Arabidopsis thaliana: one gene and its partners. The protein of the gene in region 2 interacts with the protein of the main gene of each other region in a pairwise test. Each region holds a gene or a part of one and is shown on either strand. Other genes may lie near its edges.

Region 1 (5,994 bases), on a different chromosome or scaffold from region 2:
ATATTTATATAGCTACATATCACAAACGAAATTTTTTTATAAACCAAAACTTTCAAAAACATAATTTTAATACCAAATTATATATATTTTGTTAAATTTAAGTGCATAACCATCTATCGGTACCTCAAACTTCTCTATCATTGTTCTATTAGTTACCATAAAGTATTTTATACCCTTTAAACTTTCTAATATGAAATCGTTATCTAGCATTCTTGATTCACAATAGTACTGATTGAGAAGATCGGTGTTCTCATTTCTCTATGAAAGTAGCCTCCAATAAACCTAATAACTCAACCATACAAATCCAACGTTGTCCACTCATGTAGAGATAAATGTGCAACGGCGGAGAACAAAGCAGTAGAATTTGAGTAAGAAGATAATAAGTTTTTCTACAGTGGAATTTGAGTAACATGTCTTTGTGTTAGTATGAAAATATGAAATCAAGTATATATATTTCCTGTTTATTACTTGTATTGTACCGGTTTTAGTTTGGATGGTGATCCACAACAACACTACTAATAAAAGCTACAAAAATATAAGTCTAGTTTATGTAAAAATGATTTTTTGAGTTTCATTGTAGCATTCAATGTTCAATAAATCGGTTTAGGCGGCGACTAGACACCCGCTTAGGAGTTCATGAACCTTCGAATGCCCAATTTTAAGTAAAATTAGCCGCTTAAGTGTCTGATTTGTTTTATACAAAACATAATTTTCAGTAAGTCAAAAACATTAATCAAAAATAAAATAAAAAATACTTGATTACTAAAATTGTAAATTATGAATTAACTATTTTCAAAAAATTTAGTTTTTTTTTGTTAAAATGTTTTTAGGACTGAACTATTCTAGTTTTCATATAAACCAAGTGTGAATATATATAATAAATTCAAATAGATGACATTTATAACTTTATATATTTTATAACCAATGTTTTGATATAAAATTATGAAAAATAAAATAAAAATGAATAAATAATATGTTAACGTTTAGGCCTCGCTACTCTCTTTGAGTATTGGTATTATTACCAAAGTCAAATATCATAAGCTTCTCTAAAATTAATTTGATCAATGAAAAAAAGAATTAGTGGTTCATATGAAAGAAAAGCATTAACAAGACATATGACTGTGACTGATATAATTGTTCTTACGAATAGCAAAACAATCAAATTTGAAAATAAAGTCAACGATGAAGTGCACTAACCACAAACTCATTTAGAAGTGCTACATTTGTGCAAATCACTGAGTCCCATTTGATAAGACTAATTTGACAGCTGATGTCGAATATCTAAAGAAAATTAATACTCTTTTAGATGTAGGGAAGAGGGAATTAGAATATGAATACTAACATTTAAGAAAAAAAATTAACTTCATATAAAGTGAGAACTATATATATTTTGTAGCAATACATGTATTGTATTTTATATATCAGAAAAATAAAACACATAAATTGCAAATACAAAAATAAATCTTGGTTTTAGTTTATGAAACTTTACTATAAAATAAAATAGTGTGGATAAATTTGGAGCTCAAAGATAAATAAAATTAGATGTTAGTAAAAAAAAAATTTACAAATACGAGTTAACAGAGCTCACAATTCTCAAAAGAAGTTTGCTAAAATTCAAATTTTTATGCGTCACATTCTTTTATTATCTTTCCTTCGTTTGGGTAGCTATGTTAGCATCTACCTCTATTAGAAGTATGAGACTATAAATTTGTCAAACTCTATTTTGCTCACTACATAAATGTTCTCCTTTCTCTCTATCTCATCCACTCTTGCTCCACATGTATTTGATATGCCCTCTATTTCGGTAAGGTGAGGTTTATTTATCTACTCTTCCTACTCACCAGTCTTCTTTATACGTTATTATATGTATGTTACAAAAAAATCGAAAACAAAAAAAATATATATATGTAGTTACATTTTTTTTTTGTTCTTCTAGTATTTAATCTGTAAGAATATTGTAGAAGACACTATTGCGATTAGTCTAAAGCTTATCCAGATTTACACACTTTCATGTTTTAAAGATAATAACCATCATTTGAGATTCCACTTTGTGTGGTTAAAGGTTCTTTATCGTAATTATCACTTATAGACTTTGGTACTAAGTGCTAACAATAAACAAATCAAGATTTTGCGTAGAGACGAAATATCTTGAAGGTCAAAGTAGAAACACACACATAAGAATGTATTTGTTTTGAACAAGCACACACAAATAAGAGAATCCAAAGTCTTACAACACAAATTAGTAAAAAGACTAAAGAGTTTTCAAACACATCAGTAAATAAAACTTAAACATTGGAACTGTGCATAGTGTTTTTTTTTTGTCTTGAGCATCTTCGTTTCAAACCCGCTCTTTGTTCTTCGATTTCTCCACTGCACCTGGAGCTGCCACAGAATAAATCAACAATGAAATGAGCCATTGAGTTTGTATTCAGATTAGGGGGAAAGATGTTGGAAAACTTACCTAAGCCAATAGAATCAGAACCCTTCATGATCTTCAGTTTCTGGCATGTTTCAGTAAATATCCTGCAAATAGGTTTTAACAAGGATTCAACTTTTGAACGGAAACAAAACCACAGTTATTAAAGCTGAGAGTTCCAAAAGAAGCTTACTCCCATGGAACATCGCCAACAAGCATCCAATCACCGTCTTTATCTTCATAAGTAAGCACAAATTCTGATCCATGAAGAAGATCCTTCAGTTTAATCTCGCTCATTCTTTCCCTCCCTTGAGCACCATGAAGACCACATTGACCTGAGATCACAAACAAGAATCGAAATCACTGTTCTTTGGTTCATTCTGTTTTACAGTAGAATCAATGATTAGCTTAAATACATAGTAAATTCTCACCAAGGGTGAAGCAGCTGAACATTTTCTCAAGTGCAGAAGACAACTGTTGATAGGAAGTGTAAGTTCTCAAGTCGACCTTTCTCAGATACGGAGCACCATCCATGCTCACCTTCACAAACAGAACACCAAGACCAGGTTTCCCATCAACCTCATCAGTGTTCTTCGAAGTAGAAGAAGCCATTGTATTCTTCCGGTATGATCTGATTGGAGGCCAACCAACAACCTGTGCCCTGCAAAACAATAGACACAGATTACCACAAGATTCGTTCTTGACTCATAAACAAACTCATAAACAAACTCATAAACAAATCATCATATAATACACACTTGGCAGCTGGTGCATTGTTCAAGCCACCCTTAGCATGAGATCTTTCTTCTTGAATACTCTTCGAGACATCCTTAACTTTCGGCGACAACATCATGTTGATTCCTCCTCCAGGTCTAACAGATCCTTTCACACCCGAAAACTCATCCCAAGTGTCAGCAAATCCTCTCTTGTTACCAGAAACAACATTCTTATGCCCTGTAGTAGCAGAACCATTGTCTTTAGAAGGTAGCAACGGGAAGAGAAGCTTCTCATCGGGTGTTCTCGGACTCAGCAAACCGAAATCAGTCTCTCTCTCAGGAGATTGAGACTCAGGAAGACCTAGCCTCAGTTCAGTAGCTTTGAAATTGAGATTGCTCTTCCCAACAACATTGGGAATAGTTGAGCTATCAACAGAGGAACAATCAGAGAGACCCAAGTAGTTACGTTCTTTCAAACAAGGTGACGTAACCAGTTCATCCTTATCCACACTTAGCAATCGATAAGACATCAGATCTTCAATATGCAGGACTTGTTTTATCTGCTTAGCATCACAACAACAAGAAGAACAACCCAAAATCAATCTAATTACATAAAAATCTTCACTTTCTATAGATGCATGAACAAAATTCTCAATTTTAAGAAGAACCCAGAAAAATTAGGGTTTCAGATGAGAATTGGGTTAGATTTGCTTAACAAGTAAGATAAAGTTAGAAACTTTAACCTAGGTTTCATAGCCAGAATTCAACCTTATCGTTCCCAGAACTCATCTTCCCCAAAATCAATCACTTTCCATTCAAAAACCAAAAATTTCTTACTCTAACTTCTTCAGCATTTCCCTAAAATTCAGAATCACAACTAAATCACTTACTTACGAGAAAAATAAACTAAACCCAAATGATAATGAATCCAAAGAAGCTACAAGAACCAAACAAACAAACCCAGATTGAAAATTGAAACTAGAGAAGGAGGTTTCAATAGTTCCTTTTAGAGAAATTGAAACTAGTACCTGAAGAGAGAAGAAGAACAGAGTACGCAGAGGATCAAACAAACACTAGAAAGAGAGAGGATAGTGAGAGAGAGAAAATGCACGAAGGGAAGCAGAGAGGTCAAGGTCCGTCCATGGAAAATGAACCAGAGAAAGCTAACAAAAGCGCAACAATCAAGAAGAAGAGAGAAACAAAAACATGGAAGGAGTGGTAAATTTAGTAATAAACTACAAAAGTAAGGGTATTAAGGATAGATTAGGTTTGTTCGTATGTGGTGTGGAGTACTGTAGTTAGATCTGACGGTTGAGAATGAGTAAGTGAGAGTGATTCTGAGTCGTTAGATCTAATGGAGAAATAATAATAAATACATGTCGTTGTTATAGGTAACATGGTTTCAGGTTTCTGTTTTGTAAGGAAGCTTAAAAAAACATGAAAATATTATTAATTTTAATTTGATTTATATATTTGAAATGACTTTTTTTTGTCTCTGTTATTCTTTTTATTTTATTTTGTAGGTCCACAAATAACATGCGTGTGTTTATTATATTTTATTAAAATTATTATATGGTTTTAGCAATAAGTAAAATCAAATCAGATTGTTTTATGGTATATTTTCTTTTGTTGTTGTTAAAATGATTTAGATAGAAATGGGACCATCCAATATTTAAGAGGCTGAGTGGTCTAAAATACCTATAAATTTAATATGTTTTCCATTATAATCAGAGTTTCAATAGTTATGGGACCACGTATCGGTTTAAATTTTGTCTGTCTAAAAATATGCATACCGCCAATGAAAATTACAATGGATAAAAAAAAAGTAAGACAGAGCATTTAACAAGTGGTAAAAAATGAAAATTTACGAAAAAGAGTGTTAAATATTCTTCTACTCGTTTATAATTATGGGCTGAGAGCAATTAGCAAAGGAGAGTGATGATACGAGAGAGACAAGAAAGCAGCAATTGAACTTTGTTTTGCCGGCTGCTTAATATGCTCTACTTTTGGTGTGGTATAGTTATGAAATGTACAATAATAGATACCATAATTTAAGTAGACTCACAACAAAAATCAATGTATAATTATTTAGTTAAACTAGTGAGGAGATTGCACGAGGAACAAAATTCTAAGAACACAATCAATGTGAAAATGAGAGCAAATGAAAATAGAAGTGAAGAGTTGTATATTTGAAGAAGAAGGTCATGATCAAAGAGACACGTTGGAAGCACGCTTAAAGAGAAGGGAAACAACCAAATCAGGCTTTGCAGCTTCACTGTTGTTCACATGCCTGTCACCTAATTCCATCATCACCCGCGCTCTTCCTTTCTTTCACATCATACGTCACCGTCCCGTAGCTATACCATTTATCACCCTCTTGTCTCCCACTCTTTTTATTGTTCTTGTTTCTTTTTTTTATGTTCATTTTTTTCTCACTCGAAGGTTAGATTATATTAGAGAACCCATTATATTACTAAGATTTTTTTTAATGTTCATTACTTCATGTTTTTTTGTCTCTATAAACAAAATTCATTCTGTTGTTACTAGGGGTGTCAAAATGGGTAACCCAACCCAACCCAACTCATAATCAAATGAGTTTATGATTAAATGAGTTATGGGTTGACCCAACTCATTTTGTTAAATGAGTTGGGTCTAACCCATAACTCATTTCATTTGATGGGTTGAGTTGTTAAATGGGTTAACCATTTAAATAATAATTTAATTAATTATTATTATAAAACAATAATAAATAATTATCATCATCATTAATTCATTATTATTAAATTTGAGATATTTATTGATTCAGAAATTTTTACGAGTTTACATTTTTAGACGGTAAAATTACGAGGTTACGTTTTGTGA
Region 2 (10,582 bases):
TTTATCACAAAAAAAAAAAAAAAAACCACCTGAAAATAACGAATTTGATATACTTTTCTACCAAATGTAATATTTGTAACCTATGGGATAGTTTTTCTTTTTTCTTTTTAAAGCGTTGACAATATGATCAACCATGATTAAATCGCATTAAAAAATTTAAACCATAATAACTTCGATTCAATCTACAGTATTTGACCAACATGGTTAGTTAACTTATGTTATTTGATCATACAATACAAACGATCATTTTGAGTCTCTACAGTAGCTGCCAAAGTTAAGAATTTGGTTGTTCTCTTAATCTGATCATATTATGTTTTAAATATTTTTTAGTTACCAGCCATAAGTTATATAGATAAATAATATCGTAGTAAAGATTCTAACTAATTGGGAATTTCGTTAAATTACGAGTTACAACTTTATGAATCCTCATGTACATGTGTGCTCGCCTGCTCGGTCTTAGCAAAAATTAATATGCGAAGCCAATTAAATGTACTGATGAGTCTGTTTGGGCTAGATTCATCCGTATCTGGGTTAATTATTGGATTGAGCAAATAAACAAATGTAAAACCAAGTTGTAAACACAGTAAACGTTAACCAGTTTTTTTTCTTTTTTTTTTTTTTTTTTTTTTTTTTTGCTGACTAGATCATGAATTCGGTTGTAGTATGCAAAATAGAAATGAAAAATGTGAATAATCAAGGGTAAAGTGAAATTTCTCCCCACAAGTTGTGTAACAACAACTATATCGATTAACGAGTCAAAAATTAAATTACCACATGAAAAATGTCAAAGTTAATTAGGAACTTTTTTTTCATTGAACCAATTAATTTTTGATGAAATTTATGGTTTATTAATCTGACACAACACTGTATAAAAGATTTTTTTTGTTAAAAGTTAAGAAAGAAGAATGTTGAGAGAACCATCAATGTTAAACCAATAGATGATAGTCAAGATTCATAGTATAAAAATTTACCACATTGGTTGAGAGATCAATTCCTTTCACCATAATGTCAATCATAATTAGCCGCTAGAAACGTTTTCTATGTCAAAAATACACAGCTTTTTCATATTGATTTTGGTTCAGAATTTCATGGTTTTATACCTTGTTTGATAACGTCATTAGAACATATGTACTTTTGTACTACTGAAACATTAAACTAGTGTGCAAAACAAGATTTTAAGATAGTCTAAATTCCAGTTAACAGAAAAATAAAAAATATTGTTGGTTGGGAAATAGTAGAACAAACGAGAGAGAGAGTGTGTGTGGTTACGATGAGGAGAAGAGACATAGAGGCATACACTCACTTAAAAGCAAAACCATTTTGGCTAAACCGAAAGACTCGGTCGGAGTCTAGAGCCTGTCTCTCCCGACATCCTCTGCCACACCTCACGTGCATGCTGCACCCACACTCACGTGCACATACATTTTTCTTGTGTTTTAGTTATTTTAGTAAAAACGATATATTTATTGACTCTTTCTGTAATGGTGGTAGAAATTGAGGAATTCACAAAAGTCCCAAGTTTTTGTTATATATGGTGCATGCGTATGTATTTGAGGAAACTTTTGCAGGATGCGTGGATCAAATCCAATTATAATTTAATTTTATATAGATATAAAAGTCAATAGTGGGAGGTGAAAAAAATATCAACAATGATTGAGTGTTACTACTACTAGAATGGTTAATTCGTTTTGATGAGGAGTGATTTCTAAACACATCAATTGTTGTACGTACATATACTCTCCACGCGCAGCAAATATTGACCCAAAAAGGCATAAAAAACACTAAAGCATGCCAACTTTTTATTCTTGTTGAGATTTACTTTGTCGTCCCATATCTTTTCAAATTTTGATCCTCTATAATATATGTTTAAACCTAACTTATCAAACTTTACATTCCTTTTTCTTTTGCTCACTAGGTAAGGCTCTTGAGATCGCTTCACCTCATCTCTTGTTTAACATTTATAAACATGTAGCTGTCTGGTTAATCAATTTACATGTGGTAAATTATAAATTACTCTAGAAAGAGATGTATATTAAACTGCTAAGTTCATGGCTAATCTTCGGTATTTCTTGTTTAACCGCGATAAGTTGAACATATATTAATGAGCTCTTATGGTTTTTGTTTAATGTCCATTTGGAGGTGTGATCATCTCATATGTTCTCACCAAAAGATTACCACTTGAATTCTTTTACATGTGAAATGTTTTAATTTATTAACCCTCTTCTGTTTTGATCAAAACATAAACTATATATTTGAATCTTTTATATATAATTCATATTAATTAAATAACATCATGTTTTCAATGAATGTATTGACATGATATCAATGAAGAATATTTACTTTGGAAAGAGTCAGAGTTGTTCTCGAAAGATATTTAAATGTTCCAAATTATTTCCGTTTGTCTAAACATAGAAAATCCCTAATTACATATAAATCAACAAAAAGGTAATAATTAGGTCAAAACCTCCCCCACTAAATACATGTATACTGAGATTCAGAAATACAATACTATTATAGTATATGTTAATTGAAAGCAAAATTCATAAGAAAGATCGGCGTTGAAAGGAAAAAGGCTCTACAACTACATTTTATATGCATACGTAGAGAGCTGAAAGTAAGGAACAACTCTACTCCGGTCCAGATTAATTGTAAAGAACTTTATACATTAATTAAAACAAAAACGAACACTTTATACTATTGATTAAAAAAAGAAGAAGATGAATAAAATAATTGCCTGAAAAATTAATAATTACACATGAAGGCTTAGCTTTAATTGGAGTATAATGATGTCCGTAGCTCTGTAAACATGTGAAGTTCTCCTCCTTTTGCGGCTAGTGGGTGCTCCATTGCGTATCAAAAGGAATATTATTCTAATCATAATTAAGTCATTAAATTACTAGTAGTGTTTTTTTTTTTCTCGCATTATACGGACATGTCTCAATTTGGACCAATCCATATAAATGAATAAACTTATTAGCTACTACTATATTATAACAGAAAATATGTATATAAAAGAAAAAAAGTGGGACATCTTTTCTGGTAACCAAGAGTTTACAACTTTGGATTAGAAAATATTTAAGTCCCCATTTGGCTTGCAATTTTCGGTCCGCCGAACCTAATCCTTAGGTTTTTCTCAATATATCCGGGTTTATGGTATAACCTCATTCATAAGAAAATCCGTATTACTAAAGTAAAAAATTAAAAATATGGTTATAAAAACGAGGGAAAGTTAACAGATTTTAAAACCATGGACTGTTTTTCCAACAACAGTAAATTATAATCGGAAAAGATAAAAATAAAAAGAAATAAAAAAGGTGGGACCGACAAGAAGAAGACATCAAGTGGGGTGCCACGTCAGAAGGCATAAGAAAAGATTTCATCTTTCCGCATGTATCCGATCCCAATCGGCTTAAATCTCAATATCGATTATTGTTTTTATTTTTTTGAAAAAACACTTGAGAATCTGCAGAAACACGAGAAAAAAAAGAAAAGTTTCAAAGCTTTTTAAGAGCTTAAAAATTTGCTTTGAAGCTTCAAATATTCTTATGAACTAAAAAGAAGAAAAAAGCTTTTGTTTCTTTTTCCTTAGCAGCAGAATGATTTTTGTTTCCAAAATTATTACTATTTAGTTTCTCTCGTGCTCTTCTCTTGAGCAAATACAGATTCGTTAATTTTGCTGAAGAAGAAGAACTCTGTTTCTTCCCTGCACCAAACCAATTTTTTCGTTCTTTCTATAAACCATGAAAGCTCCATCAAATGGATTTCTTCCAAGTTCCAACGAAGGTACACAAGCTTTATATTTATCTTCTTCTTTTCCAGATTTTATACTATTCAATTTCTTCATCAAGGAGTTTCTGCATTTCATGTTTGTGATTTTCTCATTGAAAAAATGAATTTTGTTATTCAATTTCAACTTTGGAGTCAGCACAAAGTCACAAATCGAGTTCTTCTATCACTTTATTTAATAAAGTGGTTGAAACATAAATGCCGCTCATAAAATTTCCAGACTTTAAATGAAACTATGCAAAAATTCTATCACTTTTAACAGATTTGAATATGTGTGTGATGATGATGAACAGGAGAGAAGAAGCCAATCAATTCTCAACTATGGCACGCTTGTGCAGGGCCTTTAGTTTCATTACCTCCTGTGGGAAGTCTTGTGGTTTACTTCCCTCAAGGACACAGCGAGCAAGTAAGTTCATTGCGTTTCAAACTATTTTGAAACCTTTGGTAGCAATCTAAGTAATATGTTCAATGAAACCTTTTTTCAGGTTGCAGCATCGATGCAGAAGCAAACAGATTTTATACCAAATTACCCAAATCTTCCTTCTAAGCTGATTTGCTTGCTTCACAGTGTTACATTACATGTAAGTCTCTTCTGACTCCAACTTGTGAATCAACAAGAAGATGAACTAATCAGGACTTTTGTGAAATTCTGAATCAGGCTGATACCGAAACAGATGAAGTCTATGCACAAATGACTCTTCAACCTGTGAATAAGGTCTGAATTATATCATTCTTCTTGTGCTATCTTGGTTTAAAGTTGAGGACTTTAATGCTGATCTTTGCTCAAAATGTGTGACAGTATGATAGAGAAGCATTGCTAGCTTCTGATATGGGCTTGAAGCTAAACAGACAACCTACTGAGTTTTTTTGCAAGACTCTTACTGCAAGTGACACAAGCACTCATGGTGGATTCTCTGTACCGCGTCGTGCAGCTGAGAAAATATTCCCTCCTCTTGTATGTCTCTCTGATCAAAGCTACTCTCAGTTTCTTTTGCTTCAAACTTTTGAATCTGTTTTGCTAAAAGTTCTAAGGGTGCTTAAAATAGGATTTCTCGATGCAACCGCCTGCGCAAGAGATTGTAGCTAAAGATTTACATGATACTACATGGACTTTCAGACATATCTATCGAGGTTTGAATCATCTAAAGTTTGTTTTATTAGTCTAAAAGATTGAAAACTTCAACCTGATTTGTTTTCTTTGATGTAATCTGATCTCAGGCCAACCAAAAAGACACTTGCTTACCACAGGTTGGAGCGTTTTTGTTAGCACAAAGAGACTATTTGCGGGTGATTCAGTTTTGTTTGTAAGGTATGAGTCATACTTTGATCAAAACATTAAGCAGAATTGGACTTTCATCTTCTCATAAGGGTACTTGGGTTTGCAGAGATGAGAAATCACAGCTGATGTTGGGTATAAGACGTGCAAATAGACAAACTCCGACTCTTTCCTCATCGGTCATATCCAGCGACAGTATGCACATTGGGATACTTGCAGCTGCAGCTCATGCTAATGCCAATAGTAGCCCTTTTACCATCTTCTTCAATCCAAGGGCAAGTCCTTCAGAGTTTGTAGTTCCTTTAGCCAAATACAACAAAGCCTTATACGCTCAAGTATCTCTAGGAATGAGATTCCGGATGATGTTTGAGACTGAGGATTGTGGGGTTCGTAGATATATGGGTACAGTCACAGGTATTAGTGATCTTGACCCTGTAAGATGGAAAGGCTCACAATGGCGTAATCTTCAGGTAATGACATATCCGAGTTATGCTAAACTGTTTATGATGGTCATTTCTTCTGAATCTTTTGTTCATGGTTTAAACAGGTAGGATGGGATGAATCAACAGCTGGAGATAGGCCAAGCCGAGTATCCATATGGGAAATCGAACCCGTCATAACTCCTTTTTACATATGTCCTCCTCCATTTTTCAGACCTAAGTACCCGAGGCAACCCGGGATGCCAGGTGAGTTTACTGCTTTCGTTCATTTTTTTCCCATAGATCTTTGACTGAGTTTCCGGATACTAACCTTGGTGGTTTGTTGCAGATGATGAGTTAGACATGGAAAATGCTTTCAAAAGAGCAATGCCTTGGATGGGAGAAGACTTTGGGATGAAGGACGCACAGAGTTCGATGTTCCCTGGTTTAAGTCTAGTTCAATGGATGAGTATGCAGCAAAACAATCCATTGTCAGGTTCTGCTACTCCTCAGCTCCCGTCCGCGCTCTCATCTTTTAACCTACCAAACAATTTTGCTTCCAACGACCCTTCCAAGCTGTTGAACTTCCAATCCCCAAACCTCTCTTCCGCAAATTCCCAATTCAACAAACCGAACACGGTTAACCATATCAGCCAACAGATGCAAGCACAACCAGCCATGGTGAAATCTCAACAACAACAACAACAACAACAACAACAACACCAACACCAACAACAACAACTGCAACAACAACAACAACTACAGATGTCACAGCAACAGGTGCAGCAACAAGGGATTTATAACAATGGTACGATTGCTGTTGCTAACCAAGTCTCTTGTCAAAGTCCAAACCAACCTACTGGATTCTCTCAGTCTCAGCTTCAGCAGCAGTCAATGCTCCCTACTGGTGCTAAAATGACACACCAGAACATAAATTCTATGGGGAATAAAGGCTTGTCTCAAATGACATCGTTTGCGCAAGAAATGCAGTTTCAGCAGCAACTGGAAATGCATAACAGTAGCCAGTTATTAAGAAACCAGCAAGAACAGTCCTCTCTCCATTCATTACAACAAAATCTGTCCCAAAATCCTCAGCAACTCCAAATGCAACAACAATCATCAAAACCAAGTCCTTCACAACAGCTTCAGTTGCAGCTACTGCAGAAGCTACAGCAGCAGCAACAGCAGCAGTCGATTCCTCCAGTAAGCTCATCCTTACAGCCACAATTATCAGCGTTGCAGCAGACACAAAGCCATCAATTGCAACAACTTCTGTCGTCTCAAAATCAACAGCCCTTGGCACATGGTAATAACAGCTTCCCAGCTTCAACTTTCATGCAGCCTCCACAGATTCAGGTGAGTCCTCAGCAGCAAGGACAGATGAGTAACAAAAATCTTGTAGCCGCTGGAAGATCACATTCTGGCCACACAGATGGAGAAGCTCCTTCTTGTTCAACCTCACCTTCCGCCAATAACACGGGACATGATAATGTTTCACCGACAAATTTCCTGAGCAGAAATCAACAGCAAGGACAAGCTGCATCTGTATCTGCATCTGATTCAGTCTTTGAGCGCGCAAGCAATCCGGTCCAAGAGCTTTATACAAAAACTGAGAGCCGGATCAGTCAAGGCATGATGAATATGAAGAGTGCTGGTGAACATTTCAGATTTAAAAGCGCGGTAACAGATCAAATCGATGTATCCACAGCGGGAACGACGTACTGTCCTGATGTTGTTGGCCCTGTACAGCAGCAACAAACTTTCCCACTACCATCATTTGGTTTTGATGGAGACTGCCAATCTCATCATCCAAGAAACAACTTAGCTTTCCCTGGTAATCTCGAAGCCGTAACTTCTGATCCACTCTATTCTCAAAAGGACTTTCAAAACTTGGTTCCCAACTATGGCAACACACCAAGAGACATTGAGACGGAGCTGTCCAGTGCTGCAATCAGTTCTCAGTCATTTGGTATTCCCAGCATTCCCTTTAAGCCCGGATGTTCAAATGAGGTTGGCGGCATCAATGATTCAGGAATCATGAATGGTGGAGGACTGTGGCCCAATCAGACTCAACGAATGCGAACATATACAAAGGTTAGAGATCTTTCTCTCCCTTTCCATAGCTCTAATCTTTTGCTTCTTAATTTTCGAATGCTAAATGCCGAAAGTTGTTAAATCATTGAAGGTTCAAAAACGAGGGTCAGTAGGTAGATCAATAGATGTTACCCGTTATAGCGGCTATGATGAACTTAGGCATGACTTAGCGAGAATGTTTGGCATCGAAGGACAGCTCGAAGATCCGCTAACCTCTGATTGGAAACTCGTCTACACCGATCACGAAAACGATATTTTACTAGTTGGTGATGATCCTTGGGAGTACGTTCCAGACCTGAAAAATCTATCTGTAACAGTCAAGATTGAACAATTCTGATAATTCTTGTCTGTTTGTTTTTTCCACAGAGAGTTTGTGAACTGCGTGCAGAACATAAAGATACTATCATCAGTAGAAGTTCAGCAAATGAGCTTAGACGGAGATCTTGCAGCTATCCCAACCACAAACCAAGCCTGCAGCGAAACAGACAGCGGAAATGCTTGGAAAGTACACTATGAAGACACTTCTGCTGCAGCTTCTTTCAACAGATAGAAATAAAAAGATGCAAATATACCAAGTCAACTTACATTATCATTCGAGGCCATCGCAAAGTACATGTTTTTTTTTGTGTGTATGTACTGCAAACAACAAACTGAGAAGAAGAAGATACTGCACGGTATATAAACATTTTTATAGGACAGTGATTTGATTTTTCATTCTAACTTGATGTTGTTGTACTTTCTTGTTTCCATATTTGTATAACAAGTATAATGCTTGACAAGTCTATGAGGAGCATATCTTATACAGAGATACTAAGATGTAATGTTAATGTAACTAAACAATTACCTTCATTAATCATGAATCTTTGGTCGTTTCTTCTTCTTCTCTTCAGTGCCTCCTAAGAATCAGGGATCATTTCAGATTCTTTTATACCAGTATCCTCTAGACGCAGCGAAATATTCAACATTTCAACGTTTGAAAACGAAAAGAGAGGAGTTAAAGAAAGAATCACGTGAAAAACAAGGACAAGGACAAGAAAACCAAACAGTCTCTGAGATTTCCCGTGTGAGTTGTGACCCACACACATTAAGACTCAAGCTTCTAGTAACATCCGCCACGTGTCCATTCCCCTGACACTTTGCGGCGTTTTAAGTACAAACGCGCTCCCTTTGACCTTTGAAGCTGACCTTCTTTCTTCTTCACGCGCCATAAAAAGTCAAAAACTCACTCTTCACTCTTTTATTTCACTCGTATAAATAAATTTCTGAAGCGCCAAATACAATTATCTCAATTCAAATCAACACTAACACTGAAGAACAGAGCTCACTGAAAAAACTTAACAGAACAAAATTAAACCGGAAAACAGAGAAATCATACCGGGTTGGTTCAATCGCGTCTTTGTTTGGTTTAATCGTGATGGAAGGGTCGTCTTCTTCGATGCAGTCAAAGTACAAAGGAGTGAGGAAGAGGAAATGGGGAAAATGGGTTTCAGAGATCAGACTTCCCAACAGCAGAGAACGTATTTGGTTGGGCTCTTACGATACTCCTGAGAAGGCGGCGCGTGCTTTCGACGCGGCTCTTTATTGTCTCCGTGGCAACAACGCAAAGTTCAATTTCCCTGATAATCCTCCGGTGATCTCCGGCGGACGTAACTTGTCGCGATCTGAGATAAGAGAAGCTGCTGCGAGGTTCGCTAATTCGGCGGAGGATGATTCAAGTGGCGGAGCAGGATACGAGATACGGCAAGAATCTGCTTCAACATCGATGGACGTTGATTCGGAGTTTTTGAGTATGCTTCCGACGGTTGGTTCGGGTAACTTCGCTTCGGAGTTTGGGTTATTCCCTGGGTTTGATGATTTCTCCGATGAATACTCCGGTGATCGTTTCAGAGAGCAGCTTTCGCCTACACAAGATTATTATCAGCTTGGAGAAGAGACTTACGCCGATGGTTCCATGTTTCTTTGGAATTTTTGAATTCCATTATTCACAATCTGAAAATTTTGACTTGGGTTTTTTATTTTTTTTTGTAGTTCTTTACCCAATTTTTTTTTGATCATTGGGATAAAGAGTTATTCATTCACTATTTTTTTCCCACGTGTTAGATTTTTCAGATGGGAAAAGGCCAAACTTAATAAAACAATTATATTTGGATCTTCTGACGTCATTTGATCATATTATCATGATATCATCCACTCCAATCGCTTTCACTAGGCCCAATTACAAATCTTATTTTAACTGTACGATTAAGCCCAACAATAATACTTCAGGCCCATTAAAATCAATAAGGGTATTGTCTTATTAAATTTCAATTACAATTTTTACTTTAAGTTGTACGATTAAGCCTAATAATAATATTTCAGGCCCATTCAAACAAAGGCAATAAGGGTATTTGTCTTATTAATTTTTATATATTTATTTTCTGATATATTTGACAACGACCTTATTAATGTTTTAAGGGTTTTCAATATAATCATTTCAATGAATATCTTTTAAGAAAAAAAAATATACAATTCAGTAATCAATTAAGCCAGTGAAATTCAAGGATTAATTGGAATTAAAAAAATTGAAACAAATAGTTTAAAATTGTTATGAAATTATGCTACTATAATTTATCTAAACCAAAACGAATATTCTTAGCCACTAACTATTAACTTGACAAATCCTACAGTTAGTTATATTCAAAAAAAAAAAAAGAAGAAGAAGAATTAAGAATCTAGTTACGTAATTGTCTCAAATTCAAATTACATATTGCATTATATGTTTACAAGTGGCAAAAATGTTAATATAATATGCAGTAATTTTTTAAAAATAGAATCTGGATATATTGAAAGGAAAAAGAGTTTAATAGATAACGTAAAGAGCTTTATTAACAAAATGCGAATATCCGACCCGTAAAGAAATGCGGATATCCGGTGGGGCTAAGTCTGTAGCTTCTCCATTTCATCTTCTTTCTCTTCTCCACAATCAGATTTTCCTATAAGATTTGCTTCTTCCATTGCTCTTCTCATC
Region 3 (5,044 bases), on a different chromosome or scaffold from region 2:
AAGTTTTAAACAGGTCATAATTAAAATGAACATTGCAAATCAACACCACTATATATAAGGGAAATGTTTAACAAAGTTGTGCAAGAACGCTCAGTTAGAAACAGAGTAACAAGGACAACAAATACTCTACATAACTTTTCTAAGTTAAGGAAAAAATTCATAAGAAGTAAACCTGAACCGAGGACAAAACCCGCTGCTTATGCTCTTAGTCAAATTATGAATAGGGAATTCATTTGCGTCATCATCTCTGAAACACAAGTAAACACAAACTTTATAAGATATTTTTTCGGAAATTAGGAATTATTAAGCTGTCTTTTAGTAGTTATAGAAGTTGCCAACTTACTTTGGTTCATCCGATGTGAACTTAATTGCGTATATGGCACATGGTCTGTTGTAGCAGTACTTAATACCAAACTTTCTTTTATCTCCTAACCAACCGGCAAAAACCAAATATTGAGCTGATCCATTACTGTTTGGACTCCAAACAACCTGTCCAACACTTATTGATCTAGGAATTCCTTTGATTGGCTCGACCTCTCCACTGTTAACAGAAAAAGAGAAACAACCATCATAAAAAGTACTGGGTAGTTGTTCTTTTCTTATGGAGAGATTGATGGAAACCTGTCAACATTGATAACAAACAGTGCAGGCTGCCTTTTTCCGGCGTATGCTTCTCCCCATTCCTCTTCCCAATCCCCTTCACCTTTCCAGCTTCCAATACCCTTGTCCAAAGAATTTTCTTTCTTGTAATAACCAAGATGATCAAATGTAGGCTTGGGACGAGATGGCTCCTCGGCGACATACGCAACATGAGTCTCATCTGAATCCCAAGAGATCCCTTCAAACCTATCATACATAAGCCTTACTCATTTTTATACTTCTACAAGAACTTGTCTTTAAAAATCAGCCAAAAACAAAGTGCCATACCATCCATCAACGTATACAGAGCCATGAACTTTCTGTGGAATATGGAACTCCTTCTCTAGCTGAGAAGAATTCCATATCTCAAACTTTGTAGGAGATTCATTTTCAGGATTTCGAATTACAAGGAGCTTCAATCCCGATGGAGATGGGACAAAAGCCGATGCACCAGTCATCTCGATGGGAAATGGCGCCCAGTGAAAGTTTACAGATTGGTTACTTTCGTTCGAAATATGACCCGACAACATAAACTTCTTCTTTTTATTAGCCAAAAGGTTTGCTTGACTCAAGGCAAACATTGCCTGAGAACCTGTAGTAAGAGCATCAAAGTGAAAACATCATTTCATTTGGGAAGATGATTTTCAACAACAAAAGACTCAAAAATCTTAATTTACAAAGTCCCAACTTGAATATGCAAAAGTGATTACCAGAATCAGAATTAAAAATCCAAGCTTTATCAATGCTGGGAATATTAATGAACTCTTGAAGTAACTTTGACTGTGTGGCATACTCTTCCTCTGTAGTTGGGTCCAAACCAACATGCAATTCTTTAGCCGAATCAGTTCCAGAAGAATCCATAGCTACAAATCTTCGAATCCAATTCTTGTAACTGAAACAAGTATCTCATAAATCACTAATGATTGCAAAACAATTCCATTAATCAGATTCATCATCCATAACTCTAAACCAATCAAGTTCTTAGTAGATATGATTGGCTTCAAATTCGTTAAAACAGAACAAACAAAAAACCAATCAAAGTAATAAACTTTCGGATTAAAAACTGTCATATAAACGATACCCATCAAAGCAATACCATCAATGATTCTCAATTCGTGGTAACACCATCAAAGTAATGAATTTTCGGATTGAAAAACAGAGACTGAGAGAAGAAGAAGAAGAGCTTACGGAGACTGAGTGAGTGAAGGAGTGATGAAAGTAGATCGGAAAAGAAGGCGACGAAGATGACGATGAGAAGAGCTCAAGTCAAATCCCAAATTGGTGGAGCAAGTTATTGGGTAGTGACTAAAGATTCTCGCCATCTAATATTAAACAAAACAAAAAAAAGTTGAAAACTTTCGATAGTGATATCCATTACATTGCCCATTTCTTAATCCAAAATTTTATATCTTTCACTATGTCCCAAACTTATGTTAGTATCAAATACTAAACTTTATTGGTTATGTTAGTATCAAATATCTTGAGCATACATATAAACTTCGTATAATCAAAACTCATCTTTTACAGAATTAACCAAAGCTAGTTTACATCTATATAACGTATTTGTAACCCTATTGCTTTTTCTTTCTTTACACCAAACTTTTTTTTATCTAAACAAAGTAGAATTTGTTTTTGCCTCGACCAAAAGGTGTTTTGAGACAATGGATCATAAGGCAGTAGGAGCTTCGGATCCTTTCATGATTCTGAGTTTTTGACAAGATGAAGAGAACATGTCCCATGGAACATCACCGACCAACATCCAATCTCCATCTTTGTCTTCATAAGTAGGTACAAATCCAGATCCTTTGTAGCCTTCTCTCTCGGAATATTCACCTACTGTGAACTTGAACATGTTCTCTAGTGCTTTGAGAAGCTCTGGATAGTTTTTGTACATCTTGAGATCTATCTTACGGAGATATGGAGCTCCGTCCATACTCACTTTCACATAACTCACGTTTTTGTTGTTGTTGTTCTTACGGTTAGATCTCACTGGAGGCCATCCAACGATTTGTGTTCTGAAGTTTACAAATCAAGATTCATTATTAGTACACCGATTGATATCAAGAAGTTTGGATATTAAAACTATAACTTTCAGATCTCAACTTACTTTGCAGGAGGAGGAGCAGATTCTTCTGTTGAGTCGTTGTTCTTGCGCTTGTTGTTGCTTCTGACGCAAGAAAGTTCTAGTTGTTGTTCTTCTTGTGCTCCGGGTAATCCCAAACGAAGCTCTGTGTCCTTAAGGTTAAGCCCATTGGTGACTTCCATATTCTCTCACTATACTTTAACGGAGAAGCTCTCTTCCTTAATTCTTGAACTACTTCTTCTTCTCTTGTTATTGCTCTTCTTGGGATTGTGATTTGATATCCTTGAAAATGCTTGTGTGTGTTGTGTAATGGTGAGGGAGAGAGAGAGATTTATATAAGGAAAGATGCTTTGAAATTAGGGTTAACGAGAGAGAGAGAGAGATATGAATTATGACGTTGTCGGGGAGCATGAGGAGGCAAGTTAGAGGCAAGGGGACAAAGGTGGGACACAAAGATTTTGGACGCGGCTTCTTTCTTATTTTCAACGGTCCTGATTTGTCTCCGCCAGTTGCGTACGCGAGATCCTAGCCGTTTCTTTCTCTTACGGTCAAATGAGTAAAGAGAAAATCATAAGAGTAAGAGAACTTCTCGACCTTCGTCCTTCTACCACACGATCACGCTAGGTTTATGTTTTGCAACTATTCGTTATTCGGATTGATTCAAGAAAATATCTAGATACATTTTGTATAGTTCAGATTGGATCATCGGATATCATAGTAGAAAAAATGAAACTAGTGTTGGACATGTTGATCATATAGATCAAGCTTTTTCGATCACCCCAGTTGTGGGGTAGTTTTCATGAAAATATTTCATTTTTGTGTAAAGGTTTGGTATATGGTAGAGTAGATGTCTAGAATAGATGATCAAATATTAATGGTCAATTTGTATCGAAGAATTAACAATTTCCTTTTATAAATATTTCGACAGTTTTTGCGTGAAAAGTAATGTTTTGTTTGCAAGAAACTATAGAACAAAATAATAGACAAAACACTGTAAAATATTATTTATTTTCTCGTAGACACATATATAAATTGTAAGTATAGGTTTGTACAATTATGATCAATAGTAAATAAATTGGGGAGGGAGATGCATGTGGATGAGGGTGAAGAGTGTTCTTAATGGAATAATGGATGCAGGAAGTATGGTAAGGCCATGTGATATGCTGTCTCAAATAACATTTTTTCTATTTATTTTATTTTAATTATTGTGTAAAATTTCATTTTAACATTTATTATAAATACAAATATCTATATGAAACTATATATTTTGTTGAAAAAGAGTTGAAAAAAATATCTAAAGAGATGATTTAAAAAAAAAAAAAAACCATTTTAAATGGGCTTTTGGGGACACGGCCCATGTGGTATTTCGAGCAAGGTAATACAATTAATCCCTTCTCGAAATTACGCATAACTATGTTCATTTAACTTGCAATTCCCATACCGCATGCACCTTAATTTGATGTTTATATTTGTGTTGGGCGTATATTCATTCCACAATCACTGTCCACTAAGAAATTTTATTGTCTATCTAGCGACAACGAGAACAAAAACTAGATCATATATGAACATATTGACAAATCAAAATGTATATGGGTTATTTTACCAATAAGCATTATCGTTTTTACAACAAGTATAAAGTAATGCTCCCTACGTTTAAAGTTTATAAGATGGTTGAACAATTTTTTGTCATTTTAGTTGTTGTTTTTGTTTTTCCATACAACATTTGTGTTTTAAATTAATAATTAGTACTCATATTATTGAACTATTATTAATCAAAAAGTTATTTCTAGTTTCTTATTCTTTTCATATTCATCCAAAACAATTTTTTTTATTAAAAAAAACATAAAGAGTATAACAAATAAAAAAGTATATGTATAAACTTGATCATGAAATACAGAGATGCTAGTCGCTAGAGGCTTGCGTGTTCAATATAAAACAAGACGTATGCTTATAAGAAGTAACATTTGTTAAATCTGTTTTGGAAATCCCTCTCATTGTGTGGGAGATGATAACATAATTGTAGAGTTTACATGCTATATAATAGTATAACGGATTTTCTGATCCCAATAGATGGATCTCCTGCAGGTAGGTGAATCATGATAATATCATTTATACTTATGTCACCATGTGTCCATGTTAACTGTTATTTTCACGCTAAACCATGTTCAACGCATGTTGATGAATATTCATTTTCTTACATATTTATCAAATATGGTGTGTAGTTTGTTCTCATATGCATATCGATTGTCAACGATACAAGAATCCATACCTAAGCTTTGAGAGTTTCGTGTGGCATGTTAATTACTAAAACCTATCAAACTC

The links.
Region 1: the proteins of ARF19 (region 2) and IAA8 interact in binary tests that used the Arabidopsis thaliana proteins (3 or more experiments, as listed by UniProt).
Region 3: the proteins of ARF19 (region 2) and IAA1 interact in binary tests that used the Arabidopsis thaliana proteins (3 or more experiments, as listed by UniProt).

Annotation. Positions count from the first base shown.
Region 1 is NC_003071.7:9,634,804-9,640,797, reverse strand, and holds IAA8 (indoleacetic acid-induced protein 8), read right to left. Parts: upstream 4,419-5,994; 5' UTR 4,161-4,418; exon of another isoform or gene 3,991-4,160; 5' UTR 3,922-3,990; coding exon 3,901-3,921; exon of another isoform or gene 3,693-3,900; coding exon 3,175-3,692; intron 3,078-3,174; coding exon 2,848-3,077; intron 2,752-2,847; coding exon 2,610-2,751; intron 2,524-2,609; coding exon 2,462-2,523; intron 2,383-2,461; coding exon 2,339-2,382; 3' UTR 2,053-2,338; downstream 1-2,052. UniProt on the Arabidopsis thaliana protein: Aux/IAA proteins are short-lived transcriptional factors that function as repressors of early auxin response genes at low auxin concentrations.
Region 2 is NC_003070.9:6,625,938-6,636,519, reverse strand, and holds ARF19 (auxin response factor 19), read left to right. Parts: upstream 1-3,386; 5' UTR 3,387-3,740; coding exon 3,741-3,783; intron 3,784-4,079; coding exon 4,080-4,192; intron 4,193-4,271; coding exon 4,272-4,367; intron 4,368-4,444; coding exon 4,445-4,501; intron 4,502-4,585; coding exon 4,586-4,741; intron 4,742-4,832; coding exon 4,833-4,917; intron 4,918-5,004; coding exon 5,005-5,095; intron 5,096-5,171; coding exon 5,172-5,532; intron 5,533-5,609; coding exon 5,610-5,748; intron 5,749-5,830; coding exon 5,831-7,575; intron 7,576-7,666; coding exon 7,667-7,857; intron 7,858-7,941; coding exon 7,942-8,125; 3' UTR 8,126-8,837; downstream 8,838-10,582. Other genes in the region: AT1G19210 (Integrase-type DNA-binding superfamily protein), read left to right, coding at 8,990-9,547. UniProt on the Arabidopsis thaliana protein: Auxin response factors (ARFs) are transcriptional factors that bind specifically to the DNA sequence 5'-TGTCTC-3' found in the auxin-responsive promoter elements (AuxREs). Could act as transcriptional activator or repressor.
Region 3 is NC_003075.7:8,359,042-8,364,085, reverse strand, and holds IAA1 (indole-3-acetic acid inducible), read right to left. Parts: upstream 3,091-5,044; 5' UTR 2,905-3,090; coding exon 2,747-2,904; intron 2,655-2,746; coding exon 2,306-2,654; 3' UTR 2,053-2,305; downstream 1-2,052. Other genes in the region: AARE (acylaminoacyl-peptidase-like protein), read right to left, coding at 173-247, 344-541, 622-846, 928-1,231, 1,350-1,531, 1,828-1,961. UniProt on the Arabidopsis thaliana protein: Aux/IAA proteins are short-lived transcriptional factors that function as repressors of early auxin response genes at low auxin concentrations.